Alligator mississippiensis: one gene and its partner. The protein of the gene in region 1 interacts with the protein of each later gene in a pairwise test. Links are inferred from orthologs where the notes say so. Each region holds a gene or a part of one and is shown on either strand. Other genes may lie near its edges.

What was found. The genes of interacting proteins can lie anywhere in the genome.
Region 2: the proteins of DAZAP2 (region 1) and ARID5A interact in binary tests that used the Homo sapiens proteins (3 or more experiments, as listed by UniProt). The two-hybrid records come from large-scale screens. The link is inferred for Alligator mississippiensis from reciprocal best matches to the Homo sapiens genes DAZAP2 and ARID5A.

Annotation. Positions count from the first base shown.
Region 1 is NC_081838.1:10,209,998-10,221,223, forward strand, and holds DAZAP2 (DAZ-associated protein 2), read right to left. Parts: upstream 5,217-11,226; 5' UTR 5,103-5,216; coding exon 5,090-5,102; intron 4,249-5,089; exon of another isoform or gene 4,144-4,248; intron 3,481-4,143; coding exon 3,359-3,480; intron 2,794-3,358; coding exon 2,551-2,793; intron 1,904-2,550; coding exon 1,775-1,903; 3' UTR 481-1,774; downstream 1-480. UniProt on the Homo sapiens protein: In unstressed cells, promotes SIAH1-mediated polyubiquitination and degradation of the serine/threonine-protein kinase HIPK2, probably by acting as a loading factor that potentiates complex formation between HIPK2 and ubiquitin ligase SIAH1.
Region 2 is NC_081830.1:10,575,027-10,584,024, forward strand, and holds the start of ARID5A (AT-rich interactive domain-containing protein 5A), read right to left. Parts: upstream 5,130-8,998; 5' UTR 5,059-5,129; coding exon 5,034-5,058; intron 4,976-5,033; exon of another isoform or gene 4,742-4,975; intron 3,272-4,741; coding exon 3,132-3,271; intron 1,000-3,131; coding exon 831-999; intron 519-830; coding exon 466-518; intron 89-465; coding exon 1-88. UniProt on the Homo sapiens protein: DNA-binding protein that may regulate transcription and act as a repressor by binding to AT-rich stretches in the promoter region of target genes.

The sequences.
Region 1 (11,226 bases):
AGCTGCATTCTTTGTTGGCCCTTAGACAGCACTATAATAAAAAGTAACCAAATTGGAGTGAATTGGCTGAACCAGTCTAAAACACTTAGGTGTGCCCTGAGGTTACAGTGAAATCTTCTGCACTAGCACAACCGTTTCCAGCAAACGAAGCAGAACTCCGCAAATGCATTGCACTTTGTATTTTAACTTGACCCTACTTCACTTACCCAGAACACAATTTTGGGACAGCCACAAGTCAGTCCATCCTTTTCTCTGTTCATTTTTTTCACCATGTTTGGTTACGAAGCTTGGTGAAGAGCTCAGCAAGTCCTGTTCTCTCCCCCTCACCCCAGTCTTTCACTCCCACTTCAAGTGTAGTTTTCCCTTGTACAAGATCTACCTACAGAGGCGATTTGCAAGAAGGCAAGCAAGAGGAAGCAGGCCTTGAAGAAAGCTGTGCAATAGCCTAGTGTTTTGTGAGGTCTAATGCAACTTTGGCACTTTATTCAAATTTTCAAAATAGTCTTTATTCTACTTTTTTTTTTTTAGTATAAAAAAATCCACAAGTTAAGTGCACCACAGTGTGTACAGAGAGAAAGACTTAATGCTGAACTTCCATAACAGTCAGTTAAATGGTTAAACACAACATATACACAATACACAGACTTAGATTAAACTGAAACCTCAAGATAAAATATATTCAAATCTGATTTTTTTTCTTCATAAAACAAAAACCCAAAAGATAGAGGATCCCTGAAATATTTCTTAACCCTAATAAGACTTCACTGTACCCAAGCCATTTTTTTTTTTTAATTATGCATTCCTAAAACAACCCAAACGAGCAAGGAAATTTGTGTGCTGACTGACAACTGCAACACACCTCAGTGCAGATGGAAACCACCTGTCTCTCTGTTCTGACTAAATCCCCTTAAGGAATTTTGCTGTCAAGACACCAGGCTGCTCTAAAACAGAAAACAAAAATGTTGCTAAGCTTGTAGTTTTTAAAGGTCTAGATAGCATTTAATGAAATGTTTAAACATGAGTTGCATTGTGTTTCTGGCACCAAAGCATGGCTTTGATTAGATTCTTAAATGTGCAAAGAAGTCCAAGATTCCTTGGAGTGTATAAAAGAACGCCCCGTGGTACACTCTAGCTGTATACCTTCCTGGAGAGAAATGAAGAGCAAATGTGAGCACAGAGTGCTTCAAGGGATCCCTTCTCCTAGGAAGTCAGGAAGGAAAAAAGCCCTATATGTCTGACTATGGGCCCTCCAGGGAAAAATTAATATGACTGGCTTTCTATCCACAGATTCTATAGAAGAGGAAACATAACACACATCTCTCAACCCTACTGCCAGGCCATAGAGTTGAGACAGGTCTGCACGGATTAGATGTGGAAGCCAGGTTTCTTTCCTAACCCTTTCCCACCCCCACAGCCAAATTCATACCTAGCTGATTAATAAAGCAAAAAAAAAAAGACAGTGCTACAGTATTTACTCCAGTGGAATTAAAAAGAAGATCTGTGGGGCTCCTTAGCTCACGTTCATTTCATGATTTAACCCCGGGTGAATAGAGGCACTGCTACCATGACATGGTTCAAAAGGACTCAAAGTGCCTGAAGGGATGGGCATCAAGAGGATGCCCCATCCAGTATGTGTCTAAACTGCAACTTCAGGTTAATATGACTAAAGCAGTTACATGGTGAGAAGTGCTGACAGTATGTGATGTCTTTCCTTACACAAATGAAGCCCCCTCCCCCCGCCCCCCTCGCGCCCCTTTTTGTTTGACTTGATTGTTCACCAGATAGTGTAGCCACCATCCGAGCCCCCCAGAAAGAAGTTCCCCTTCCGTTGCGTCACCAACACATTGGCACCCTGCATGACTGCCAGCTGGGCTGCATTGGGAGGGCAGCCAGGAGGTGGGGGCTGCAAGACAAGAGAGAGGAAAAAAAAGAGTTAAGAGGCTCTCTGAGGCAGAGGCTGCAGTGGTTGCTCAGCCTAGCACAGAAGACATCTTGGAGCACAGTGAAGATGCTCCCCTTTGCACGAGCACAGCAGAGAGGACAGCCTTCAATGACTGTGACCACAAGCAACCAGAAGTGATGGAAAGCACCTTACGCACACTGTCTGAACTGGGAACAAGAAAGGCAAGGGACCGGTAAAGGCAGTGGAAGAGGAAGGACTTAATGCAGACTTGGCTTCTCATCCATCTCCAAGCATAATGGACAACAGCCAGAGTACAAGATGCATCTTATAACACAGGGAGCCAAACACCAGCACTCAGTTTGCAGCCAATTATAAGATCATAGGAAAGCAGGGCTGGAAGGGACCTCATGAGATCATCTAGTCCAGCCCCCTGCTCAGGATCATCCCCAGCTAAGCCACCCCAATCAAGTGTCTGCCTACTCTCTCTCGAAATTTCCATGAACCTGCTTGTGAAATTGTGCTTAAATGCTTATGAGAAAATGCCTGGTGTTGAAGACTTAAGGACTGTCGTCTTGCCCCCGACTGCCAGCTTTACTGAGTAGCTCCAAAAGTGACACATGGGGTTTCTGTGGTATGCTCATACTTACAGGGATATTAGTAGTGGCACCAGCTCCAAACCGTGCTCCAGCATCAAAGCCACCCTCGACAAGAACCGCTGAGCCTGGGGGATAGACAGGACCCACAGGGTAGTATGCCATTGGAACGGAGGAGCCTATGGGTCCCACAGCCACAGACTGTGCCACAGGCAGGAACAGAGAAGTACCAGGATAGGCAGCAGACATAGTGGGCATGGTGGCAGGCCCTGGAGGCACAAAGCTTGGCCGGTAGAGCTGAAGGGAAAAAAAAAAAAAAGAACACAAGTGCATTGGAAGAAATATTCCTTGCTCCAAAGCCATTTCCTCAGATCCTTCCTCAAAGTGCTGATAATGTGATAAAGGCGTAGCAGCCCGATCAGCTGCACAGATAGCTCCATCACTTCTAACGAGAAGTTTGTTCACTTTACGAGAGGTCGAGGCACAACACCCTCTTCAGACCCTCTACTTTGCTTTTGCACCATAGCAGCCACTTTGTGGGAAGCTCTGAAGGAAGTTTCTGCCATTTAAGAGAGTGGGCCAATTCAAGATCTGCAAGAGGAAATGCCCGAATAGCACCCTGGTTTAGTCACCAAGTGAGCATGTACACATGCACTTTGGGGCAGAGGTCTCATTGGCTTTGTCAATGAGCAATCATTTAGCAATCATCAGTTGAGACCGCTTGCTGCTCTTGTCCTATGAGGTGAAAGGTGTTCCAAGCTGCCAGAAATACAGGCAATGAGCTGTCATGTGTTAATAGCTCAAAATGGGAGGCTGGAGGGGAGAAAAGGTGCAAGAGCAAGAAAAGGGCCATGCCTTATACCTCTGAGTAAGCAGGAGGCGCATCAGTGTACGGTGGTGGCTGAGGAAGAGGCATGGTCTGTGGATACACTGGAGGATTACCAGGGGGCTGGACTGGGTAGGAAGGCTGTGTTGGGTATTGACCTGAGAGAGAGAGAGAGAAGAATACAGCTGGTGTTAAGTTTTACCCTTACAGACATCGGACAGAGGGTGGATGAGTTCATGGAAAGCCCCTTCTTCTGCAGTTTTTTTAAGCAGGATTGCTAGAGATCGTTAACCCTGGAGGTGTTAGGCATGCACCAACAGATACCCCCCATGCGATTCCCAGCCACAGAGCCCGTTCATCACTCTCGACCAATACAGCTACTTCAGTCAGAACTGAAAGCAAGAGGTAGCTAGCAGTTATAGTCCTTCACAAGGAAGCAGGTTAAAAAAAAGTTAAGCAACTTCCTGTGGAAAGTTTACCAACAAACCACATTTTTCTAAGCTGGCACTTCACTGCTTGGACTTCAAGCTGACTCACTCTCCTACAAGTAGCACAGATAGCAGGGCATCAACTACGCTACGTATGGATCCGTTTGCAGCTACGGATGCGTTGCATCATATATGCAAACCCCCCCGGAGCATCTGTTCAGGATGCTAACATTATACGATGCAAAACTAACCCCATCTGCCTCGAGTCACGGAAAAGCTGAGCTCCCAAAAGACGAGACTGGGTTTCTTCAGGAAAAAAAAAAAAAAGGAGGCCTGAAGCTGGAAAAACACCGATACACCCCGACAAAAACAAGGCACCTACCAACCTCTTACCCTTTTAACTGTTACGGAATGAGAGCTGATAGACCACTATTGTGACGTGCACCTTCGTGTATGGACAAGAGCAGTTGTAGGCATGAGTAAATCTGCAAGCAAAGGCTGACGGGAGGTAATAATTAATACTGCTGTTAAGTTTTGAAGTCACCGCTGCCCAGTTCTGAGTGCAGCTGACACTGTGCTCTATTTTCTAATCTTTTTTTTTTTTTCCCCTTAACCCCATTGCTATCAGGTGTTTAAGAGCGGCGTGTTTACCTACTCGGTTGCATGCGAGCAGGTAACCACAGAGAGGCCGGACTCCAGCCAGCCACTGTCAGCTCCTGTCCGGCCTCCGATTATGTTTAAAGACCGCTCGTGGATTGTAAATGCCCAAAAGCAGCATTTTAATCTATTCCGAGTCCAGGGCAGGGTGAAGGGGAGGGGCGGGAAGAGGGACCCTAGTGTGAGCCCCCGCACGGACGGCAGGTTCTGCATGGACACGTTTAACCTCTGCGGTGCCGCCAAGCGACACCGACACCTGAGCACGCACACAGGTGTACGTGTGCGAGCGTGTTTGTGAATGCTGTACGGGTTTTAACAAGCGTGTGTGCATGTGGGAATTCTATATCGGTGTTAATGAGCGTGGTGTGCACGCGCATGTGTGTGCATATTCTGTGCAGGCTGTAGTGAGTGTGTACACACTCCTCTGGGGCCGTGGACAAGGCCAAGCGCGCCCGTGACGGGGCCTGGCAGGAGGCTCCGGCTGGCCCCCACCCCCGCCTGCCCCCCCATCGCCCTCCGCAGCAGGGAAGGGGTTAAGGGCCAGGCCGAGGCGCGCGGCGCCATGGAGACCCGAACCCCCGCCCCCCGCCGCGCTCCCATTGGCTGCGCCCCCCGCCCGGCCCGGCGGTGCCCGGCGGCGGCGCTGGCCTGCAAGGGGCGGGGGGCGCTGCCCGGGCCGCACCTTTGCTGTTCATGGCGGCGGGGCTGCGGCCGGGTCGCTGCGCGTCAGTCCGGGCCGGCGGCTGCACTCACTTCCTTGTTGTTGTCACTGCGGGCTGAGGGGACGCGCGACGTTGCCGCAGAGCGTCATGACGTCAGGGCGCCGTCGCGCGGGCTCTTAAAGGGGCCGCGGCCGGGCGGGGGCGGGGCTCCCGAGTTGCTGCGTCACGGCTGGGAGGGGTCGGGCAGGGGCGGCCTGTTCCTGGCTCGTGTGTCTGTGTCTACGCGCGTGTGTGCATGTATGTGTGCATGTGTGTATATGTGCTTGTGTTTATGCATGTGTGTACGTGTGTGTGTATGTGCATGTGTGTATTTGTGTCCATGTGTATATATGTGCATGTGCATGTATGTATGTAGATCTATGCATGTATCTGTGTATATATGCGTGTGCGTGTGTGCATGTATGTGCGTGTATGTGTATATATGTGCATGTATATATGTGCGTCTGTGTGTGTATATGTGCGTCTGTGTATATATGTGCGTGTATGTATATGTACACAAGGTTCCTCGGGTGAATCTGATATCTTTTATTAGACCAACTCAAATGGTTGGAGAATAGTTATTAAGCAAGCTTTCGGGTTCAGAAACCCTTCATCAGGCTAAGGAAGTGTCAGCAGTTGGTGTGTGCTCTTCCTGGATGGAATGAACATATGTGTATGTATGTGCGTGTACATATATGTATGTGCATGTGTGTGTATATGTGCGTGTGTGCATGCGTATGTTTGTATGCGTGTATGTACACATACACAGACTAAAGGTGCGTCAGTCAGCACAGTTCAAGAGCAAGACCTCCGCTCCCTTCATCCCGCGGGATCGATTTCCAAGCAGAAATCCCAGCCCTGGGCCGGGCCTGTGCCTCCAGGCTTGGGCTCTTCAGTCACCCCAAGACCGGTTGCTGAACCACGGTCAAGATTGTCCTCAAACCGAGGGATTGCTGCCCCTGGGGCAAACCTCCCTCCTCTTGTCTGCGGGAGAGCATGCGCCTGTTCTCCCAGTGTTGAAAGACTCATCCCCGCTTTCTGAATTTTAGATGTAAACTTTTCCTGACGCCTCCTGGTTTTGGGGGGGAAGAGGAGGAGAAAAAATCCTCAGGCCTCTTTCTCCAGCTCCTTCTTAAGCATCTCAATCAACCGGTTCATTCTTCTCTGTGTTTAAGTGAACTCCTCATGAATAATGTACAGGGTTCCTGATGAATATGCACATCGGCTTGGTATGCCTGTGAGGACTTTATAAATAATTTATGAGCATCAAATGTTCTTCACCTTGCTCCTGTATGGGGAACTATAAAAAAATATTTACCCTTTCAAGTGGCAGTAAGATCAGTATAGACAGCTTGAAACCCGCCTATTAAAAATACCCAGGGAAGTGGGTTTTTGCATCGCTGAAGTTGTAAGCGCTGAAGAGAAAGGGAGGAAAGGAAAATGCATTGCCATTAGCAAGAGAAGGGTAAAACGCTAGCCGTTTTCTCGTCACGAGCTAGAAAATGGTTTCTGAAGGCTGATGGAGACTTGCTGCCTGTAAAGGCCCTGATCTTGCAATCTACTGCATGTAAGGTGCTGAGCATGGTCTCAAAGCTCATGGTGACCGGTGGGAGAGTGGAGGGTGCTCAGCATTTAGCAGGATCACCCCCACCCCTCACTAATGGAAATGTGTCAATATTACCATTCTTTCTTTCTAGTCTCCTGATGCTGCTATACAGGAAACTTCCCAGCAAAGGCAAAGCACATGTTCTTTTGTGACCGGGAGAGAAAAAAAAAAAAAGCAAGCAAAGCATTTCATTTCCACTCAGGAGAGCCAGCACCTTCCAGAGATTTTGAAAACCTGGAAGGATTTAAATATATATATATATACTATCTTGTTTGAGAAACCTGCAGCCTCATGGAGACAGCACTCAAAGCTCCATTTCTTAGCGCTGCTCTGCAAATCGAGCCCAAAGTGTCATCACCCCTGAACTGACGCCCTTAAAACTAAAGGCTACTTTCAAGTGCTAGGCTGTGCACAAAAGGTCTGCTTGGGCACATCTACACGTGCGCTTTAAAGCGCATTAGCCTATTTTAATGTGCATTAAAGTGTCACTTTAAAAACAGTGCTATTTAGTTAATGTGCATTAAAATAGGCTAATGTGCATTTTCTTAGTACCTACACGAGCAGCAAGGCTGCTCCTATGTGCTGTAATTCCAGCGTGTTGAAGCAGACTCAATTAATCAAGTCTGCTGGAGCATGGCAATTACCATCATTTTGAAGCATGGGGACAGTGATAAAGGAAACACTCAGGGCGCTTTAATTAGAGTGGCACTCGGAGCTGCTCTAATTAAAGCATCTCCCCCAGCCTTGCATATAAATGCCCCTTGTGCTTAGAACAAAGCATTCTAAGAGGGACTGGGACTGGGAGGGTTTTCTGTCTGTGGGTGGCCTGGGACACTTGTTTGCACTTAGCAGCTAAAATGCAAAACATTGGAGTTGCAGGAAAGTTTAGATCTGCCCAAAGTAGGCCAATGCCCCAGGGAGTGGCACTGCTTTTTTCACGGTGATGTTGCGCAGGGCCAAAACGTGCAGACCAGCATGGCAACACACGTGCTTTAGTGAGCATTAAAGCATCACCAAAAAAAGTGGGCTTTCACTAATGCACGTTAAAAAAAAGCTAATGTGCCTTTTTCTAGTGGTACTAATTTTAATCGGCATTAGCAAAAGCACATTAATGAACATGTCGAGGTGCCCATTGACATGGATAATTTTTGGGGGGGTGGGTTCCCCTCAATTTAAATCAAACTCACACCTGGAAAGGCCCTGGGTTTCCCAACGTGTGTGCAGTACTTATACTCCTGTGTTGTTAGCCTGAGGTTAACAACAGTTGTGGCCACTCAGAACCCTGCAGGTGCAGAAGCCTAATTGGTGATATCAAAATAGTAATTAATCATTAGCTGATAATTACTTTGTGACAACTCCTGCTTGCTACCCCCCCAGGGCAAAGTTCTGGCCCCATGGAAATGAATGGGAGTTTTGTCCATGAGTTAGTTGGGGGCAGAGTTTCTCTGGCGGGACAGGTGAAGCCTGCAGGCCAACATAAAGACATGGTAGACTTCTCTCTCTACCTGAGCTCTAGGCAGTGGGAAAGGCAGGCCTAGTCCCAGAACATCTGGAGGAAGCTGGTGAGTGGCAAATGCATCAGTTGTGGAATTGCATATCTCTGAGGGGTGTCAGAAACTCCATGGTTAAGTGCACTCCCTTTGCTACGTATGGTAGAGAAACCAAATGTCTAAACCAGTGAGAGGCAAAGACAAGAAAGCTGGAATACTAATTTGGGCTTCTACCAAAATATCCTGTGGACGTAGCAAGCATTGGAACAAGGGGCTTGACAATCGGCCAGAGCAAATGTTATTTCTGTCAACTATTCCTAGGCCACATTTGAATATAATTTTTTTTCTTCTCTCTCTTTCTCTGACCGAGCTATTTTCTGCAGTAAAGATTCTGGCGCTTGTAAAATAAATTCATCTTGGAGATAAATTAAAAATGCAATGTGTACCCTTTTATCCCCCTTATGTATTATATTAATAGTATGCCAATGTATGCAAATGAGTGTGAAATTCAACTAGATGGAAGTATTTAAATATTCATAATCACAGTACAGCATATGCAAACCAGACTCTCAACAGAATTGTGCTGCAGAGGCTCAAATAACAGCTGTACTGAAGCAAAGACATTTTGAACATAACTGATCCGGTTACTAATGAAAATGTTGTCGGCAATGGGGGTGTATTTATTAATGTTTGTGCACTGGTATTAATATCTGACTCGGGCCTCAGTTCAGGCATTTAAGTTTCTGCTTAAGTCTAATTGAAGTCAGGCTTGCATTTATGTACTTCCTTGAACGGGAAAGAGCTGCCTACAATGCCTTGTTCAAGGAGTTCCTCTGAAAAAATAGATCTGGTACTCATCAGATCTTAAATATGACCTTGTTGTGATCGTAGAGAGGAGCCAGTCAACTCTGAATTATTTTAATTCAAAATACTTTTTTTTTTTTTTATTCCTGAAAATAGGATGTAGAATATAAATTAGAAGCAGAAACAGCAGTTACATGCTTTTTACTATGAATGCACATTACCCAGGTTTCAGGGGCGTAGGTTATAGCCGTGTTGGTCTAAGGCAGGGGCGGGCAATTATTTTGGGCAGAGGGCCACTTACTGAGTTTCGGAAAGCCATCAAGGGCCACATGACAGGCAGCCCAGGGCAGGTTAATTAATTTTCTAATTTTTTTAGGGGCCCTGCAGACTGGATAGAATGGCCTGGCGGGCTGCATCCAGCCCCCGGGCTGCATTTTGCCCACCCCTGATCTAAGGACACTGGCAGACAAGGTTCTTTGGGTAAATCTGATATCTTTTATTAGACCAATTTAAACAGTTGGAAAAAATTTTCTTAGCAAGCTTTTGGGCACAAACACACCCTTTGTCAGGCTGATGAAGCTTCATCTAGGTTGTATTACCCAGGTTGTGATGTATGTATTTGTTCATGTAAAAGCGGACGTGTATTTTAGAAGCATGTTGTGACAATCTTATGAACTTTAAACAAAGGTTAATTTTAAGGCAAAGATTTAAAATCAGTCCAATAGGCAAAGATTTAAAATTAGTGCAGTAGCTTTTCTGCAAAGCGAAACCAGAAGCTATAATTCTTTCCAGCTAACACTGGATGTGAAAGAATGAGGTAAAAATAATTCTGCTTTATGAAGCCACATTCTTTTTTTTAAGAGGCAGCAACAAATGAAACATGCTGCTCTTTCCCCCACACCCCCCGACCTTGCTTAAAGAAAAGAAGCTAACATTCATGCCATTATTAATTTTAGAACATGCACAAAGCAAAATAATAGGATACGTTGGTTCCTTTTTTGCAGTGAGTCAGAGTGAGTCAATTGGTCCATCATTTGGTTTGAGTTGAAAAAACCCACAAATCTTTCATCTGTGATAGGTTGATGTTAAGTTGCAATTGAGTTTCCTTTATAAGACTGGTTTCCTCTGCTTTCTTGCCCCTTCCCTCCCCGCCTAAAATCTGCCTTAAAGCTGCTAGGTGAGACTGGAGACTGACATCGTGCACAACACCCAAAGTGAATGGGATGGCATTGTGCTGAGTGATCATCCCAGCTAAATACAAATGCTCAGCAGCAATCAGGAAGTGATCCAGCAGGTTTTATTTGCCACTTAGAAATGAAATTCACTCATTGCCTTCCCAAGAGGTCTTATCTCTGTATTGGTTAGAGCAGGGCTGCCCAACTTCTAGGTGGCAGGTGCCTGCAGAGCCCTGGGCTGCATGGGTGCATACCATGGAGGCAGCCCATGGCACTTCTTCCCCCCAGCACTGTGGGCAGCCCAGCTCTGCTCTGAGCCACACATGCGGTCTAGCTCCTCTCTCCCAGGCTGCACAGAGGGGGAGCAGCGCAGACCCCCTCCTCGCCCTCCCTCCCCCCCCCCACTGCACCACCCTGCCCCCCAGAGCAGAGCAGAGCAGGAAGCAGAAGCCCAAAGAAAGTGGGGAGCCAGCAGCAGGAGCAATGGGAGAAGTGGCAGCCAGGCTTGCACCCCGCGGACCTGCAGCTGGACCGCCCTGCATTGGACAGCGATGACATCCTTGTCGGGAGGTGTCACGTGCAGACAGTTTCTGTCCCATAGAGATTAGGACCTGAAAGTCAAAATTCACGCCTGGACTGAACGCGCCTATAGTAACTCCGGGCGTAAACCTGTTTGCAATCTCAGGCCCTTCTGCCATCTCCATTACTGTCCCCTTTGAGCACTTCAAATTCTTCCCCAACAGCCTGGCGAGGGCGGTGCTGCTTTTTCTGGGAGTCGGGTACGTATATACCAGGACGCACCTGGGCCTAAGAGACGTGCCCAAGGTGATGCCAGAAGTCGGTAGCAGAGGAGAGCATTACACCCAGGGCTAGGAAACCCCAAGTTCACACTGTAACAACTAGGCTAAGCCAAGCTACAGCGCTGCAGCCTGTTAACTCTCCTGCTGGCCTTTGTCTCTAAGGCTCTCAACCAGTGTCAAAGCCGTTAACTTGAGTGTGCTTCGGATCCAGGCTCCCGGAGAAGGCAGGTGCCAGGGCATCCC
Region 2 (8,998 bases), on another chromosome or scaffold:
GGCGCCGGGTGCAGGTGGCTGCGCTGGTGCTGCCAGGACTCCCGCCCAGCTCATCATAGACGTTCTTCCAGAGCCGCCTGCCTGTGACCTGTGGTGGGAGGGAGGTGAGGGCCCCAGGATGTGCCCAGCGCCTTCCTCATGTGCCCCTGCCCTAGGGCATGGCTGGACGAGCAGAGCCCTGATCTGGAGGGCGATGACAGCTCAGGAGACCTGCAGCTGGAGCATTGCCAAGTTCTGACTTGCTCTCCCACCCATCCCCAGGGGCCAAAATCAGCTGGGATCTGGCTCCAAGCTTTGGTCCCCATGGCCCCAGCCCAGCTCAGCAAGCCAGGAGAGCCCAGAAGCTCCCCTTGCCTTGCCCCATGGCTGGAGCTCTGCTGCCCCCTATGCCAGGGCCAGAATAAGCAGTCACCAGCTGGGCACAAGGCCCAGAGGATGTGATCCCGGCCCCTCCCCTCCGCTCACCAGCTCGTAGGCACCCAGCTTCTCCACGGCCTTGTAGATCTTCCACAGGTTAACTGGACAGACACACGGACGGGAGCAGAGTGAGGGCAGGGCCCAGGGGAACCATCCTCGTGCCCTAGCCAGAGTACTGCCCCCCCTCAACCTGCTCAGGTGGGCCTGGGGGACCTCAGCCATGCTGGGGGGTTGCAGTGACCACAGGACCCAGCCGCAGCCCTCCCTGGGGTGCTGCCACATCAGGGCCCTGCCCAGGCCAGCCTGGCACAGGCAAGGTGCCACACAGACCTGTGGCTGTCAGTAAAGAAGTCTGGCAGATTTGGGACCAGCAAAGGATTCTGGAAGGCCCCGAGAGGTGCCAGGGGACATACTCTGCTTAAAGCCGAGGTGGGGGATCCTTTCAATGGGCGTGCGACGTTCCTTCATGAATTTGTAGAGGCCAACGAGGAAGGCCTGCTCCTCCTCCTTCTCACCGCTCAAGGCTGCGTCCTCGCCCAGCTCCCCTGCGGGGTCCCTCTGCTCCCCCTCAGAGCCACTGGCCTGCAGAAAGAGACAGCCCCACGCTCAGCCACAGGGGCCGGGAGCTGCCAAAGCCGGAGCGACCTCGGCCCTGGTCCTGGCAGAGCCAAGGGGAACCCAGGAGTCCAAGCCCCAAATCCCCCGTTGCTCTGACCACAAGAGCCTGCCCTACTCCTAAAGCAGCCAGAGAAAGAGAGAACCCAGGAGTCCAGGCTCCGAGTTCCCCATTGCCCTGACAGCAAGAGCGGCCAGAGACAGAGCCCAGGAGTCTGGGCCCCAACCGGCGAGAGCCTGTTGGAAGACCCTGAAGTCCCAGGTGGCAGCCCAGACTCCCAGGGCAAGACATGTCCCATGGCTCCTCAGAAGTCAATACTGCCTTTGCCGTCCTACCTCATCACCAGAGCCCACCCCCATGCCTCTGGGGCCTTTTCCCCTCTCCCAGCCCCATGGCCCACAGCACCCAACCGGCTCTAGCAGAAACAGCATGGCTCCTCCCACCCGGGCAGGTGGCCAAGTTGGTCAGAGCGGAGCACGAACGGGGAACTGTTTCCAGGAAAACAGAATGACCGAGATTCTCGCTCCCTCTCTGCTCCCCCAGCCTCACGCCGGGCTGAAAACACCGCTCCGTGTTTGCTCTGTGCTTTCCGGAGTTAGAAAACTCGCTGCTATTTTAGGGCAAAGCAGCTGCTTGGCTCCGGAGACCCCTTTCTTTGCTTTTTTTTCTCTTCTTCCGCCACTTCTTCTGTGTCTCTTCGCCGCAGGCGGAGACAGACCCAGCCTCTGAGGATGGGGGGAGGTTTGTTTTTTTAAGCCCCAGCAGAGTTGAGATCAGGCAGGGGAAGGGGGGAGAGGGGGCAGAGCTGCTGGGCACATCTCCAGCTTGCTATCCCATTCCTCCCCAAGCCTGCCAGGACCTTGGCAGAGTCCCTGCCCACGTATGCCTGCCCCAGTAGGGCATGGAGAGGGTCTCTTGCCTGGCAGAAGTTGGACTGAGACCCAACAAACTCATCTTGCCCACTGCAGGCCTGGCTTTGCTGGATATCTTTGGCCCTGCCCAGCCACCCCTGCTGTCTCTCATGCCCCATGGGGTGGAGGCAGCTTGAGTTCAGCACTGAGATGCTCTGGCCCCTGGCCTTGAAGGGGAGAAATCTCCCCTCTACCCTGCAACTAACTGGTCAGGGATGACCAGTGCCCCCCTCAGGCCCTATGTGTTTCCTGATGCTAGGAGACAACATGCCAGGAAGACCCCATGGGTCTGGTTCTGAAGGTAAGGATGCCTCTCATAACAGCTCCAGGGCATCCAACCAATTAGATGTCCACAGTGGTGGCACCTCCATGCCAGGCCACGGCCCTATGGAAGGTGCCGGCCGGGGGCTTAGGGTCCAGCCACTGACAGAGGCTCTGGGGAGCTCCCAGCCTCAAGGCAAGACCTGACATGCATCCCAGAACCCATGTACTTTAATGCTGTGATGGGCAGCACCACCCTGGCTGTGCTGTGGTCCAGGGCACCATGGGATGCTCTGTCATGGCTGTGACCCCCCCACACACACTTATGCACGTGAGAGAGAGACTGGCACACTCATTCAGCTGCCACATAGGCAGCAGCCTCCAACAATGGAACTAGAAGCCAGGAAGAGCTGTGGGGGCCTTGTGTGTAGCCAGCAGTCCCCTTTTGGGGTTACCAACACTGGATGTCAGGGTGTAGGGCTGGGTTTCCACACTGTGGGTCATGCCCAGCTGTAAGCCCCAGCCTGGCCTGGAACCCACTGCTCCATGGAGCTCCTCCAACTCTCCCCTGCCTCAATGCCAGGGAGAGGGCACAGGGGGCCAGGGAACAAACACCCACCTGCCCCTGCCCCCATGCTCGCCCTGGGACACATAACTTGTGCTGCTGCCCCTCAGTCCAGAAGGAACAGGACCAACCCTGGCCTGACCCAGTCATGGATGCTGGCGACAAGCAGCCAAGACTGAGGCCAGTAGGAGCCTGCTTGGAGTGGTTCAAGTGCTGTGCATGCAGGCTGGACTAGCCCCAAGCCCTCATGCCGGCTCGCGGGGGCAGCTGAAGACATGGCTCCCCACAACTTCTTCATCTCCCGGCACTCGAGCGCATCCCAGGACCCTCAGAAGGGGATGTGGTGCCCCATCTCACTCACCGCCTGGGGTGTGGGGTCAGTGGGACCTGGGTTCTCTTCAGCATCCAGTGCAGCAGCATCAGCAGCACCTGGCTGAGACACACTCTCCTCCTCCATGGCAGGCGGCACCTTCTTCTGGTGTTTCCCTTTGGGACTAGGGGCTGTGGGGAGGAAGAGGAGACAGGCCACTGAGGAGGGAGCCTGGCAGATGCCTGTCCCCAGTGCAAGGGCAGTTCAGGCCACCCAGCCAGCTGGCAGGGGGTGGGGAGCAGAGAGGGCTCATGCTGGGCTTTCCAAGAATGAGGCTACGTAGCCAACACGTTTCCTGCATTTATCAACAGCACCCTGCACTTTCACTTTCAGGGCGGCTTCCTGGAATTGGGGGAGAGCTGCGCATGTCCCCCCTGCTGCCTCAGCAGCCCCGGCATGGCCAAGGCAGATGCCTCTAGCAGCTGGAGCTGGCCAAGACCCCTCATCCCAACCCCGGCTGACAGTCCCCTAGTTGTACCCCCCCTTGGCCACGGAGCCTCCCAGCTTTGCCTCAGGCCTGCTGTGGGGACCCTGGTGCCACACTGTGACAATGCCAAGATGTTGTCCAGCACCCCCAAGACCCTGCCCCCCTGAGGAGACCCTGCATAGCCCCCTGGCATGGGGGTGGGGAGCACCACGACGCTGATGCCCCACGGGACCCTCACTTGGCTCACATCCCACCAGTGCCGAGACCTCCATCCCTCACACATGGGCCCTGGGGCACCACCATCTCCCCCCCCCCCCGTGCAGACTCAGCCCCCTCCCGGCTTGGAGCCGCAGAGAACGGGCCTCTTGCCAGCCCCCAGGACGTCCTGTTCCCGGCCCTGCCCCGCCCACGGCAGATGGGACATCTCTGCCATCCTTCCCAGCAAGCACTGGGTAGAGGGGAGATCCCAGGCTCCAGCCCTTGCCTCCCAGATCTCAGCACATCAGGGGGGCACAGGGGGATCCAGACAAGTGCCAGATGGGGTGATGCCCCTCTGCCCCGTGTTCCACGTTGGCTTATTAGCAGCAGTCCCCAGCACCGGTCTGGTGATGGAGCTAACAGCCATGGAAAACGGACCTCCTAGAGGCAGGCAGGCAGCGAAAGGGAGTCTGATGTTTCTGCGGCTCAGGCCCGTACCTGAGGGGGGCAAGACAGCCTCAGCCACCAAACCCATGGTGAGCACTTGCCCACAACTGCTCCCACTCTGTGGAGTGGGGGAAACTGAGGCACGGGGAGCTAAGCCACAGCTGAGCTGGGAGAGATGGGACCGATGGCAAGCACCAAGGTGCTGCCAAGTCCTGTGGGGAACCCAGGTATCCTGGACACGCACATGCTTATGCCTGCCCGCGCCCCGGGGATGCAGGCGCTCCCAGCCCAGCTCGTGTGAGTGGGGAGACAAGCAGCCCCCCGGGCCCTGGCACACGCCCAGCGCGGGCGGTACCGGCCGTGACGCCGATTCCGGGAAGCTCCATGCCCCGCCGCCCCATAATGTGCCTCCGCTGGGCACGGCCCCTTCTCCCCGCCAGCCTCCCCGGAGCCCCGGCGAGGGGACGGGGTGCAAGTCCTGCCAGCCCTATCTATGGTGCCCCCTGGCACCGGGACGGAGCTTCCCCACCTCCGGGACGCAGCTGGGGGGCTCCCCCCGCCAGGACTCCACAAGGGGGCCAGGGCGGCGCCCCCCGCCTCCTGCACACAGGGAAACTGAGGCAGGCCCGGCAGCGGAGGGAGACGGGCAGCCCACGCCATGCGCCCGGGAAGCCCCGGCTTCGGCGACACGCCCCCGGGAGGTGCAACTTGGTGCCCGCGTGTACAGCGTCCCGCGCATGCAAGCCCCAGCGTGCAAAGAGCGGGGGCGCACTGCCCTACGTGGGCAATGTCCCGCGTGCGAAGCCCCGCGCGACGCTCACCCCAGCCCCGCGACGCCCGCTCCATCGAGCGCTCCCGAGCCCGACTGAGCTCCGCGCCCGGCCGCCGCGCTGCCCCGCCGGCCCCGGCCGCCCATTGGCCACACGCGCTGCCCGTCTCCGCAGGGCCCCGCCTCCCCGACCCGGGGCACCCTGGGAGTTGTAGTCCCACCTTCGCCCCCTGCTGGAGGGGCACGGCGATCCACGGCCCTGGTCCCTCACCCGGGATCCGGTGGGCGAGTGTCCGCCCCCGGCCAAGCAGGGTCCCAGTCTTCTCCAGTCCCCGCCAGTCAGCCTCCACTCTTCACTTTCACTCATTTCTTGATGCTGGCAAAATCCTACAGCAGTAGTTTTCAACCTTTTTCCATTTGCGGACCTCTTTGGGAATTTCAAACAGAGGCACAGACCCATTTGAATTGTAAGGGTGGATATTCACATACTCTTGATTGATTGCGGTCATCTTTTGCAGGCCCCTTAGCCACAGCCTGCAGCCCCACAGGGCTCCACAGACCACAGGTTGAAAACCACTGTCCTAGAGCCATTCTTCTATGGCAAAGACCTCAGCACGACACCAGTAGGGTAGGAGGGTTGGGACACTGTGGATGAGAAATCACAGTATTTTTCTTGTGAATTGTGTAGGCGTTTGCACACCTGACAGTTCCCCTTCCAGGAGTCTCCCGGGTCCTCCAGCTGAGAATCACTGCTATGGACTTTTCAGGCTCGCTGCTGCTGCCACGGCTGTCAACATCCTGGCTGCTGCTCCCCCTGGACACTCTCGGCTTCCCAAGTCCTTTTTGAGGCCCAGCCAGGGCTCCCAAAGACATCGCGGCTGGCTGCTTCTGACCGGCTCTAGCAGCAGCTTTCTCTAACAGCCTTGTTTCAATTCCCCTTTCTGCTATTTCCGGGCCCTTCTTACGGAGCCAACTGACAGCATTGGAGCCTGTAAATAAATCTGGTTTTTCTCTCCAGCTTCCGCTCCCATGGCAAAAGGGCTTTATTTCAATTAAGACTCATGACTTACTCTCAAAACTGACCGGACAGGTGCAGATGGAGTCTCTTAGCTCAGTAGCAAGTCCAGTGCTGCTAATAAACCTGACACTCTCAATTCGCATCCATAACGGCCGTACCAACAGAGAGAAGGAGTTTGCAAGTTGGTCATTCATGCCATTGCAGCTACATTGAAACTCTGTCTTAACAGCAGCCCAGCAAAGCCTCTGGGTGGACAGAAGGTGCATTGAACTGTAGGGGCGGTGGAGCCGTTGGGGCAGTGGTTTCATGCCTCCTGTATGGCAGTAAAACCCTTGCACCCATGTGGTTACAGCAGTGGGACCAGGTCCATGTTGCTGGAACTACTGTGCCCCCATGGTTCTGCCTCCTGTGGTGTCTCTGCTCAGAAGAGCTGCAGGCGCTGGGACACCGATACCAGCCAGGCTTCCACATGGCCTTAACACGCTGACACTGGTGATTCTCACCTGGGGTTGCCATGATTCCTTTAAAGGGTGCTAACACTGTATACCATTCACAAGAGAAACCCAGAGATTTCCAATAGGAATCAAGTATCCAAGCCCTGTTGGCACCTTGCTGAGGTCTTTGCCAAAGAATCACTCCAGGATTGTTCTGTCATCAAGGAACAAGCAAAAGCAAATATCTGGCATTGTCCAAGCAGAGTCTGCAGTCTAACAAGGTGGGATGTTAGGTCTAACGAGGGGTGTCTTGACTCCTGTCAAAGTTGTGAACCACCAGTTTAAGCAGTCCGTAGGCTCTGTTGTCCAGAAAGTGACTCATAAGAACATAAGAATTGCCATTTACCACCCCTCGCTCTTGTCTATCCATCTATCCACCCTATCCAGTTATCTATTCACCCCATACTCTACCTGTCCATGTATCCACCCCACAGTCTGCTTATGCATCTATCTATCCACCCCACACTCTATCTATCTAATTTATCTATCCACTTCACTCTCTCTCATTAGTCTCTCCTCATATGGAAGCTCCTCCATGCTGCAAAATCCTTGTTGCACTCTGTGCCTTCTCTAGTTCTTCTGTCTCCTTTTGGAAGTGTAGGGACCAGAATTGGGTGCAGTATTCAAGGTGTGGCTGCCCCAGGGATTTATAAAGGGGCATCGGGATACTTTTGTGCCCTCAAACCCTGCCACACACTTACGTGCCCTAGTGAGGAGCCTGGAGAAGGACCCCCAGGGGAGCAGGGTGGGAGGGCTAGGGAGAGGCAGCAGCAGCAGGGTGAGAGAGGGTAGTGTAGGGGCTTTATTGCCCCTTCCAGCTGCAATTTCACTGACTCCAGCTTCAGAGCAGTGTCACTATCATTGCCAAAATCTTTGCTGCAAGGCAGCATGATTTCCTCTCTTTTGGGTTGTGAAGGAAGGGGCTGAAGGAAGAGGGAGAATGGCTCTGAGCACAAGAGAAGGGAGAGGCATGTGAACAAGCTGAGAAGCCCACAGTTGGTTTTTACAACTTCCTCCTCTGTGTTCAAGTCTCCTTTCTGAAGAACTGTCCCCAGAATCCCCTGACGGGACTGATAGGAGAGCAGCAGAGCGAGACCTGAGAGCCGGTGGTAACAAAAGAGACAGAGGTGGAGGGGGAAGCAGGGATGTCCAGGGAGGTGAATGCCCATTGGGGTCGATGGAGAGTGTGGCTGCTACTCAGCAGTGATGGCAGCCTGCATCAGAGGTAGCCAGGCGTGGAACTGTCAGAGCATTGTGGGTTTCAGATTGACCACGCGGGGTTAGCCATGGGCATCTGTGGAAGGCAAGGCAACAGTTCCTCCATCACATGCCAGGCCAACACTGCTCAGCTCCCATGGACTTCAGGAGGAGAAGGGGTTGGGACACCACAAGGCAGGGCCCTCTCCATGGGGCTGAGGTCCGGATAGAGTGGGTACAAAGGCCTGTGGTTTCCAGTCACCCATAGAGTCACAGAGAAGTAGGGCTGGAAGAGACCTGCAGAGGTCACCTCTGGTCCTAACCCTGCCTGAGGTGGGATCAGCCCTGTCCAAACCATCCCAGACACATCCATCATCTAAACTCAACAAAAGTCTACTGGTAACTCTGACACAACACCAGACAACACACCTGAATCGGCCACAGGGAAAGAGGGGGGCTGCAGCACCCAACGTCCTAGTGCTGTACAGGTTGTTAATAAATACTTGAGGGGTCCCAGGCAGAGGCTGTGCCCCCACTACAGAGAAAGGCAAACCCTCCCTGCCCCCCAGTCCATACCAGTCTTATCAGGGAGTAAAATTTCTTCCCGACCCCAATGCAGCATCAGACTCACCCTGAGCGGAAGGTCAAGACCTGCTAGCCAGGGCCCTCCGGCTTTAGCCCCAGCTGGAGCACTGGCACAGCCCTGTCACCATTTCCAGCCTGGGCTGCAGTGAACACCCAATACCTCTGAGGGAGGGTTGAAAACCCCTTGAGACATATAGCAAAAAGGCAGGAAAGGAGCAACCAGCAAAGCCCAGAAGCCTGGGAAATGCCCATAGCAAAGCACAGGTGTCACTATGCCTACATCATCCTTGACCAGTGGCTGTCCAGCCTCTCTCTGAATTCTCCAGTGATGGAGAGGCTGCAGCTCCTCTAGGCATCCATCCTACTGCCTCGCTGCTCTGATAGAGAAGTATTTCCTGATGCTCAAAAGGGCTTTCTCTCTTCTTCACAGCAGCCCATCAAGTCTTTGAAGTTGCCCAGGCCAATGCAGCTCCATAAACAAGACTGTTTGGCCTCTCCCTAGCCCTGTGTGCTACAATTCCATGAGACACCAGCCCCAACTGGCCCACAGCTGGGCAAAGATAGGCCCCGTGAGCACCACCGGAGCCCTCAGTACCTGATACACAACAGCAAACTGTTGTCTGTGGCTTCTGTGAACTCAGGGGCTGGGCAGGGCTCCCTTCCTGGTGACAGGGAAGGGTGCTGGGGGCAGCCTGCTGCTGCAAAGTTAAGTCCTTCTGGCCC